Linked DNA regions of Sus scrofa. The protein of the gene in region 1 interacts with the protein of each later gene in a pairwise test. Links are inferred from orthologs where the notes say so. Each region holds a gene or a part of one and is shown in the gene's direction. Other genes may lie near its edges.

Evidence for each region.
Region 2: the proteins of BAG4 (region 1) and UNKL interact in binary tests that used the Homo sapiens proteins (3 or more experiments, as listed by UniProt). The link is inferred for Sus scrofa from reciprocal best matches to the Homo sapiens genes BAG4 and UNKL.

The regions. Positions count from the first base shown.
Region 1 is NC_010457.5:48,345,794-48,350,299, reverse strand, and holds the start of BAG4 (BAG family molecular chaperone regulator 4), read left to right. Parts: upstream 1-1,489; 5' UTR 1,490-1,794; coding exon 1,795-2,064; intron 2,065-4,506. Other genes in the region: U6 snRNA-associated Sm-like protein LSm1, read right to left, coding at 1,206-1,251. UniProt on the Homo sapiens protein: Inhibits the chaperone activity of HSP70/HSC70 by promoting substrate release. Prevents constitutive TNFRSF1A signaling. Negative regulator of PRKN translocation to damaged mitochondria.
Region 2 is NC_010445.4:40,443,582-40,447,972, forward strand, and holds the start of UNKL (putative E3 ubiquitin-protein ligase UNKL), read left to right. Parts: upstream 1-1,415; 5' UTR 1,416-1,473; coding exon 1,474-1,550; intron 1,551-2,669; coding exon 2,670-2,879; coding exon of another isoform or gene 2,880-2,895; intron 2,896-2,926; exon of another isoform or gene 2,927-2,989; intron 2,990-3,692; exon of another isoform or gene 3,693-3,737; coding exon of another isoform or gene 3,738-3,775; intron 3,776-4,391. UniProt on the Homo sapiens protein: May participate in a protein complex showing an E3 ligase activity regulated by RAC1. Ubiquitination is directed towards itself and possibly other substrates, such as SMARCD2/BAF60b. Intrinsic E3 ligase activity has not been proven.

The DNA.
Region 1 (4,506 bases):
TGCAGATAGGCTTGTACAGTGGCTATTCACATATGAATTTGGTCCAACCTACACTACATTTTCCTTTAATAGCAAAATCACTAATTTGGATTTTAAAAATAATTTCAGATGATAGAGAATATAATCATAAACTCATTCTTTAATTTGCATACTTAGTAACTGTAGAGATTGTTGTAACTTGTTTGGAGCTGTATGCAAACTGTTTTGCAACTACTACAAGTTAATGAGACGGAGTTCCCATTGTGGCTCAGCAGTAATGAAACCAACTAGTATCCATGAAAACTCAGGTTCGATCCTTGATCAGTGGGTTAACGATCTGGTGGTGCGATGAGCTGTGGTGTAGGTCACAGACGTGGCTGGGACCCAGAGTTGCTGTCGCATAGGCCAGCAGCTACAGCTCTGATTCGACCCCTAGCCTGGGAACTTCCACATGCCATGGTGCCGCCCTAAAAAGCAAAACAAGACAGATCACAGGACTGAAACAATTTATTAAAATTTGCTTGAGGAATAATCCACGAATGAGAGTCTGGAAAAGACAGGACAGCTATAGAGGACTAAACTTCTCTTCAGGATGGTGACTAGGAATAAGGTAGGTCGTCTAAATAAAAACCAAAGAAAACTGTCTAACAAGAAAAAAACAAGTTTTTGGTCCTTCTGGAAAAGTCAAGCCTTGTCTGGCAGTAGTCTCTACTATCATAATCTGAAAATCTAAAGACCCTCAACGGTAAAAGAAGACTGCAAAAGGCGACGCAGCATAAAGCCTATGCTTAGTGCTAATTAAGTCCAATTACTGTTGTATTCGTATTTTCGTTTCTCGATGCATCCCTTCCTTAAGAATTCTCATCCATCCACCAGTAACCACCTGGGACTCGAAATCCCGCAGGTGGGAGATGATGGGCCCGGGAGGCGGCAACTTTCATGTTTGGGCCTCAGCAGCCGCATCCCTGAAAAGCAGAAATGGATTCGACAGCTTGCCGGAGGACTGGTGCAGGCTGTAAGAGATAGGATACAGGTAGGAGGCGGGCAAACAGCGTGTCACAAGGCTCCTCCCTCCTGCAAAGGACGCTAACGCCGCACGTCCAGAACAGCACTAAAAAGACACCGCCCCCTGGCCCGGACTCATTCTAGGACCTGCCTCCAAAAAGCATCCTCCCGGCAGGAAGAGTCTCACCCCAGACTTCACTCGGAGGAGCCGAACTACTCACTGTCGATGTCCTCGATGAGGCTAGCGGTGCCGGGCATATAGTTCATTTTGAGTTGAAATGAGGCGCAACGTATAGCGGTGGTGGGCCAACTCGTCCAACACTTCCTTCTTCCTACCGCAGTCGCCGCCTCGGCGGCACCGGGACAAGAACCCGGACCCAGAGTAGCACCTCCGGCCCGGCTTTCAGCCGCCGGGGCCTGCCGGAAACGTCGCCATATTACTCCCACCCACTTCCGGCATCACGTGCCGGTGCTCAGGAAGAGGCGGGACCGTAGTGAGGTCCCGAGGCACCCTTTCCACGTCCTTGACAAGAGGGGAAGAGAAACCTAGATTGGATACGTAGTGGGGAAATGCGTTCTCCCTTTTAAGGTACACGGTGGCGCCCCTTGCTGTCCTGCTTCCTAGACCCCAGAGTCACCGACCTCAGTCCTTCAACTCTCAAGAATCTGAGGCCGAGGGGGCGGGACCCGGCCTGGGATTGGCTGTTGCTGGCCGACCCCCTTCCCTGCGGTCCACTTGCGTTCTCCGGCTGGCGTCTGCGCAATGGACCGGCCGTGGGGGGCGGGAAGCACTTGGGGGCAGTGGAGCCCATGTCGGCCTTGAGGCGCTCGGGCTACGGCCCCGGTGACGGTCCGTCTTATGGCCGCTACTACGGGCCTGGGGGTGGAGATGTGCCCGTGCACCCCCCTCCGCCCATATATCCTCCCCGCCCCGAACCTCCCCAGCCTCCTGTTTCTTGGCGGGTACGCGGGGGCGGCCAGGCTGAGACCACCTGGCCGGGAGAAGGGGGAGGAGGAGATGGCTACTATCCCTCTGGAGGCGTCTGGTCGGAGCCAGGTCGAGCTGGAGGAAGCCACCAGGTAAGCTTTGCGCTGTCTGTCCCGGGGTGGGGTAGGGGACGGCAATAGGGGAGTCTTTGGAGGTGAGGGTTATTGGGTTTGATACACCTCCAAGAGTTCGTAATGAATTGGGTTTCATGTGTTTTCCTTATGGGGGGGTGGAGAGACAGAAACTAGGATCGTAGGTGGGGGCTATGCTTGTTTTCTCTTTGCCTCTTTTTTACTTCAACCATAGTAAATGTCTTAGCATGAAAAAGGGGAAAAAGATCCTGCGCTGACCTGCTGAGCTGAGTAGCGGGCTGCGAATCTCGCCTGGGAACGGTGTTGGGCTGGAGGGATCCGGGTCTGCTTTTCGAGTCCTGACAATTTATCCTGCGTGGCTCATCAGGTCGGCCCTCCCCAAGAAGGGAGGTGGCTGCAGCACCCTCCGTCCCTTAGCAACCCCTCCCCCTGGGAAGGAACGTGAAGGAAGGGGAGGGATCTGGGCGTTTAGCTCTTTGCCCTTTTAACGCTTTGCCCGACATTGAATCACGCATAATCAATGTTGGAAAGCAGCTTTCCGTGGATTGTTTTATTTCATCTTAAGGGTGACTGCCGCGTAAATGTCATCACATCTTCTCTGTTTTACGATGAAAGAACCGTTGACCGTGAAGGGTTAACTCACTCAGTATATTTGAACCTATAATGTCTTGTTCCTTGTAGTCGTGCGGAAATACAGTTGTTTTGTTATGCAGTATGCTTCGCAGAGAATTAATCGTTATCTGGTGGGGGCACTCCTATCCTTTTCTTCAGGAAATGTAACATCCTCATTGGTTGAAAATGTAATAATGAAATTCCCATACATTGCTGGTGGGAACATAAAATGGTTCAGTGCTTTGGAAAACAGTTTGGAAGTCCCTCAAAACGTTAAGCATACTGTTGGGATCTTACTCAGCAAGTCTGCTCCTTGTTATACACCCAAGAGAACTAAAAACATGTCCACGTATAAACTTGTACACGTGAGATTCATAGTAGCATTATTCATAATAGCCAAAAGGGAAAATATTCCAAATGCCCATCAACTGATGGATAGATAAAATCTGACATATTCATACAATGAATGGGAAGAAATGGGAAGAAATGAAGTACCTTCTACAACATGGATGAACCTTGAAAATATGCTACATGAACGAAGACAAACATTAAACATTGTGTGATTCCATTTATATGAAATATCCAGAATGGGCAAGTCTGTACAAATATATGTCATTGTCAGGGGTTGGAGGCCTGGAGACATTGGGGAAGATAGTTAAAGGGTATGGGGTTTCTTTTGGGGATGATGAAAATATTTTGGAATTAGATTGTAAATGAAGATTGCACAGCTCTGAATATTAAAAAAAAACATTGAATTGTACACTTTAAAAGGCTGGGTTTGATGTCATGTTATTTCTTTTAAAAAGTTGTATCATAAAAAAAAACGTAGTGAGAGGTTAATTACAAAGAAAGGCCCATAATTTCTCTATCTGAATCTAGAATAAGCAGCCTGAGGGAACTTCAGTCCCGACAGAGGAGAGTGAGGAAATGCTTGGCTAATAGGTATGCAGACTAGACCTAGGCTCACTTGTGGGGGAGGAGGAGAGAACCACTAAGCTGATGATTCCACCTGGGCTTGCTGTGTAGTCAAAACAAAGGTTTTTTTTGGGTTAAGGTTAGAGAAGTTAAGATCTTAGTACTGGGCAGGGAGTTTAAAGGGAGAACAGGTGTGCACACAGGCTAGGTAATGCTGGAGCGGTCAGGAATACGGCCGGAATGTGATTGGGCATTTGTCAACCGTTGCAGGAGTTTATCTTTCAGGTTGATGTTTCTGAAACTTGAAAAGTATAGGATGATGATTTCTTTCTTTGTTTTTCTCAAATGGCTGCACTTGCAGCATATGGAAGTTCCCAGGCTAGAGGTCAAAATTGAGCTTCAGCTGCCAGTCTACACCACAGCCACAGCAACATCAGATCCTTAACTCATTGAGCAAGGCTAGGGATCAAACCTGCATCCTCATAGATACTAGTCAGGTTCTTAACACTCTGAGCCCGGAAGACATCTTACTCTTCAAAAAGTGTAGTCCATGTACCAGAAGCTTCAGTGTTGATCTGAGGCAGTTAGAAATGCAGAATCTCTCCTGCTCCATACTTCCTGCTGCTCCAGTTTAATAAGATCCTCAGGTGATTCATATGCACGTTTGTGGCTGAGAAGCATTGCTTCACAGAATTGGATATATTGAGATGATATTGCAGTGAATAACTGCAAAGACTTGACTCTATATTAATGTATTTAAATATGGCAGGAGTGAAAAAGAGAAAATCTCTGTTTTCTTTCTCTTACATTGTTAGCTATACTTGCAGCACTGTAGTTTGATTCTTGAACCAGCAGTATGTGCACCACCAAGGAGCTTCTCGGAAATGCTGTAGTTCAGGCCTTGCCCCAGACTTG
Region 2 (4,391 bases), on another chromosome or scaffold:
ACCACAGCTCACAGCAATGCTGGCTTCTTCACCCACTGAGCGAGGCCAGGCATTGAACCTGAATCCTCATGGGTACTAGTCAGGTTTATTACCACTGAGCCACAATGGGAACTCCTAACTGATAATTATATTTGTACATAAATCTTGGTCTGAATCTTTAAGGTGGGAGTTTCTAGAAATGTAACACATTATTTTCTGTAAAGGTCAGTACCCTTTCCACCTCCCAGCCACACTTCCTTCAAGGGTTTGTCTTGCTGCAGGTCACCGGCATTGGGGTTGCTCCTCAGATAAAAAAAAGTTGACCCGATCCATGGGCTCTTCCTTGTTTTCATCCGCATTTAAAGAGAATTACTGGAGTTCCCCGGTGCAGCAGGTTAAGGATCTGATGTTTTCACTTCTGTAGCTCAGGTGCAGCTGTGGCTGGGGTTTGATCCCCGGCCCAGGAACTTCCACCTGCCAGCGGTTGTGGCAGAAAAAAAAAGTTACCAGCTAGGTTGAACACTTAAAAGGATGTCTCCTATGCTGAGTGTTTACCACATAATGTACTCTGGACCTGAATTCTCTTTCCTGAAATGCACACCCTGCTTCCTCCTCCAGGGCCAGCAGAGCTGGAGCCCTGTTTGTGAGGCTTTGCGGCCTCCTGCCTCCCTCAGTTTCCACCCTCTGCATCCCACCCCCTCCACCCCCGCGGTGTTGGTGACAGGTGTGTCTCCCTTGCCTGCGAGCCTCTTTCTTGGATCCTTTTTGGTTCTATTGATACAAAATTCACATATTTTTCAATTCTCTCATTGAAAGTATACAGCTGAAAATTTTTAGTATATTTGCGGGAGGGGGGGTTAACCATTATCGTAGTCTAATTTTAGGACATGTTCGTAACTCCTAAACGACATCCAGGAGCAGTCAGGCTCCCTTTTCCCCCACCTTTCCCACTCCCAGCCCTAAGCAATTGGAGCCGTTCTCTCCCGTCTCAGCACCCAGCCCGGGGGGTCAGAGTCGTCAACGAGTGAAGGCGAGTGTAGCAGCCTGGGTGCGTTTCCTCTCCTCCCGCTTGCTCCATCTTCTCCCCCAGATCCGCGTCGCGTAGGGCGCTGCCGACTCGTGTAGAGCGCGCGGGGCAGCCGTGGTGGGGTGAAGGCGGCAGCGGGGCGGGGGGCCGAGCAGGTGCGGCGTGGGCCGTGAACGTGGATGCCTGCGGGCCGGTGCGTGTGGGGGCCACCGGCCGAGCCGGCGGGCTTGGGGCGTGGCGGAGCCCGGGGTGCGCGCACCCCTCCAGCGAGCGCCAGGTGCTGCAAGGCTCGCGGTGCCACCCTCTCCGCGCTGGGCGCCGGATGGGGGCGTGGTGCGAGGGCGTGGCGTGGCGGGAGGGCGTGGCTGTCCGGGCGGGGGGCGCGGGTGGGCTCCGCGCGGGGGGAGATCCGGAGGGGCGGGGGCGGGCCCGCGTGGCGCATGCGCGCTGCATTGTTTTGACTGAAAATGCCGTCGGTTTCGAAAGCGGCGGCGGCGGCGCTGAGCGGGTCCCCCCCGCAGACCGAGAAGCCGACCCACTACAGGTCAGTGCCCCAGCCGGCCGCCGCGGAGGCGGGGGCGAGGCGGGGGGGACAGCTCCGCGCGCCCCCGGCCCGCGCGCCCGCGCCCCCGCACCCCTGGGCCTGGGAGCCGCCGCCGGGTGCGGCCTGGGGCCTCGCGCCGCCCCCCGCCTCGCTCTCCCCGCCTCTCTGGTCTCACCTGCGGCCCCTTGGCCCGCCAGCCTCTCATGCTCCGCGCTGCGCCTGGGCTCTAGGCGGGTGGACTGCCATCCTACTCGGCTGCTGCCACATTTGGACAGGAGGCGGCGCCCAGGGTCTAGGGTGGCAGCTGGGCTTGGGGGCGGGGAACTGGGTCGGGGGTCTAGACGTCTGGGTTCGGGTAGGAGAAGAGCGCCTGGGGTCGTGGTCGGGGACCGCCGAGAATGCGCCTGTGGTCGGAAGTGGGGGACCCCGACTGGAGTTGGGGAGGAGGGCAGCCTCCGCCTGGGGTCGGAAATAGTACCGGGGCTTGGGGCAGCGGCTCTCCTAGAATCCCCGTATCGCACCTGAAGTTGGGGGCCGCGTTTGTGGTCTGGATGGGGGGCTGCGCATGGGGTCTGGGGGGTCGCACCTGCGGTCCGGGAAACTCTCCTGGGATGTGTGTGTGTGTGGGGGGGGGTGGCCGCCTGGAATCGTCTGGAGTGAGTGTAATGCCTGAGCTGCGCCTGGAGCCAGGAGTCCGTGTCTGGGTTCTGTGGGGTCTCACCTGAGGTCAGGGACCGTGCCTGGGATTGGCGAACCATGTCTGGGATCTGAGGAACGCGCCTGGGTTCAGGGGGCGGGGGGGAGGGGGAGGCGGAAGATCGCACCTGAGGTCGGAATCACACCTGGGCAGCTGCGCCCGGGGTCGGGGGCCGTGCTTAGGATGGAGGATGGGGCTGGGCACCTAGGGTCGGGGATGGGACATCTTGCCTGGGATCCGAGGAACGAGCCTGGCCGGTGGGGGTGGGGGTGGGGGGTGGGGAGGAGGGCGGCAGCGCGAGGGGTCGCGCCTGGGGTCCGGGCCCGCGGGCGCGCGGCGTCCGATCGCTGCCCACGAGTTCCCGGGCCGCCCGCCGGCGGCGGCGGCGGCGGAAGCGACCCGAACGCTGTTTGTCTTTTTAGGTATCTAAAGGAGTTTAGGACAGAGCAGTGCTCCCTGTTTGTGCAGCACAAGTGCGCCCAGCACAGGCCATTTACCTGTTTCCATTGGCATTTCCTAAATCAGCGTCGGCGCAGACCGCTCCGCAGGCGCGACGGCACCTTCAACTACAGCCCGGACGTGTACTGCTCCAAGTACGACGAGGCCAGCGGCGTGTGCCCTGACGGCGACGCGTGAGTGTGCGCGCGCGTAAGCTTGGAGGGCAGCGCCGGCTGCCCACACCTGGGCGGGCGGCAGGCTTGGGCTTTTCAGCACCTGGCACCTGCAGGGCCCTGTCGTCCCTGTGAGTTTTTCCGAGAACCACTGGTCTTGGGGGGCGCGGGGGGTGGGGGGACACATATCCCTGGTTCTCGGCCACTGCAGGAAGGACTGCCAGCGGATGCTGGATCAACCTGGCACGGTGCGAAACGATTCTGCCCCACCTTCTCTGCTTTTCTTGCATTAGAACCAACCCTTAGGAGATACACCTTCTGGGTTTAGGACCATTTTGTAGGCATCACCTGTTTTTTGGAGAGCGCCTGTGGGAATGTTTGCTCACATTATGCAAATACTTCTGGAAAGTTTCTTTTCTTACTGTTGATATGTTTAATTTTTAAGAAAAAAAGCGATAGGAAAGTTATTTACAGGCTATCATTTGTATCACCCTTTTAAAGTTTATGAAATGAAGGTTTTGTGGAGTTCCTGTCGTGGCTCAGTGGTTAACGAATCCGACTAGGAACCAAGAGGTTGTGGATTCCATCCCTGGCCTTTCCCAGTGGGTTAAGGATCCGGCGTTGCCATGAGCTGTGGTGTAGGTCGCAGACGCTGCCCGGATCCCACGTTGCTGTGGCTCTGGTGTAGGCCAGCGGCCACAGCTCCGATTCAACCCCTAGCCTGGGAACCTCCACGTGCCACAGGAGCGGCCCAAGAAATGGCAAAAAAAAAAAAAAAAAGAAAGAAAGAAAGAAAGAAATCAAGGTTTTGTTTTGGTTGATTTTTTTTTTTAGCAAGTTTCCTGATGGTGTGAGGAACAGATGTCTTCATTTTGAAATATGTGGACGGGGAAAACAGGGGAAGCGCCAGGCGGATGGTATGTTCCTATAACCAGCAGAAATTGGTGGCAGGAACTGCTTTTTTCCAGTGGGCCCTTTGAGATGGGGAGGGCCCATTCCTTCCCACCTGGAGGTGAGGTGGCATCGGCTGTGCCCCAGGGCCCTCTGGATAGAGCGACTCATTCAGTTTCTGCTCCGTTCTGGGTCTGATGGGGGCTGCGGTGCTTCTGGTCTTCAAACCCTGATCCTCTGAGGGGAGGCGGTTCTTCAGGTGTGGCCCCTTGTGAGCCCAGCTTTCGCACGGCAGCACGGGGAGCCCCCTGTGAGTCTGTTCTTCGTTTTTGGAAATGCTTAAGCTAGGGAGTAAGCTTTTGATCTCCAGTGACCATCTTCTAAGCATTAGACACTTCCTGAAGGGTTTTTAGTTGAACACCAGAAAGTTACAGGTGTTGTGAAGGCAGCCTGGAGCCTGCAGCAATATTGTAGCCAGGTCTGCTTAGGTTAAGATGATGTGATGGTTTTGTGAAGTTTCGAAGTGGCATTGTTTGCAGTTCCTGTTGGGGCTCAGTGGTAACAAACCAAGCTAGTATCCATGAGGACACGGATTCAATCCCTGGGCCTGCTCCGTAGGTTAAGGATCCGGCATTGCTGTGG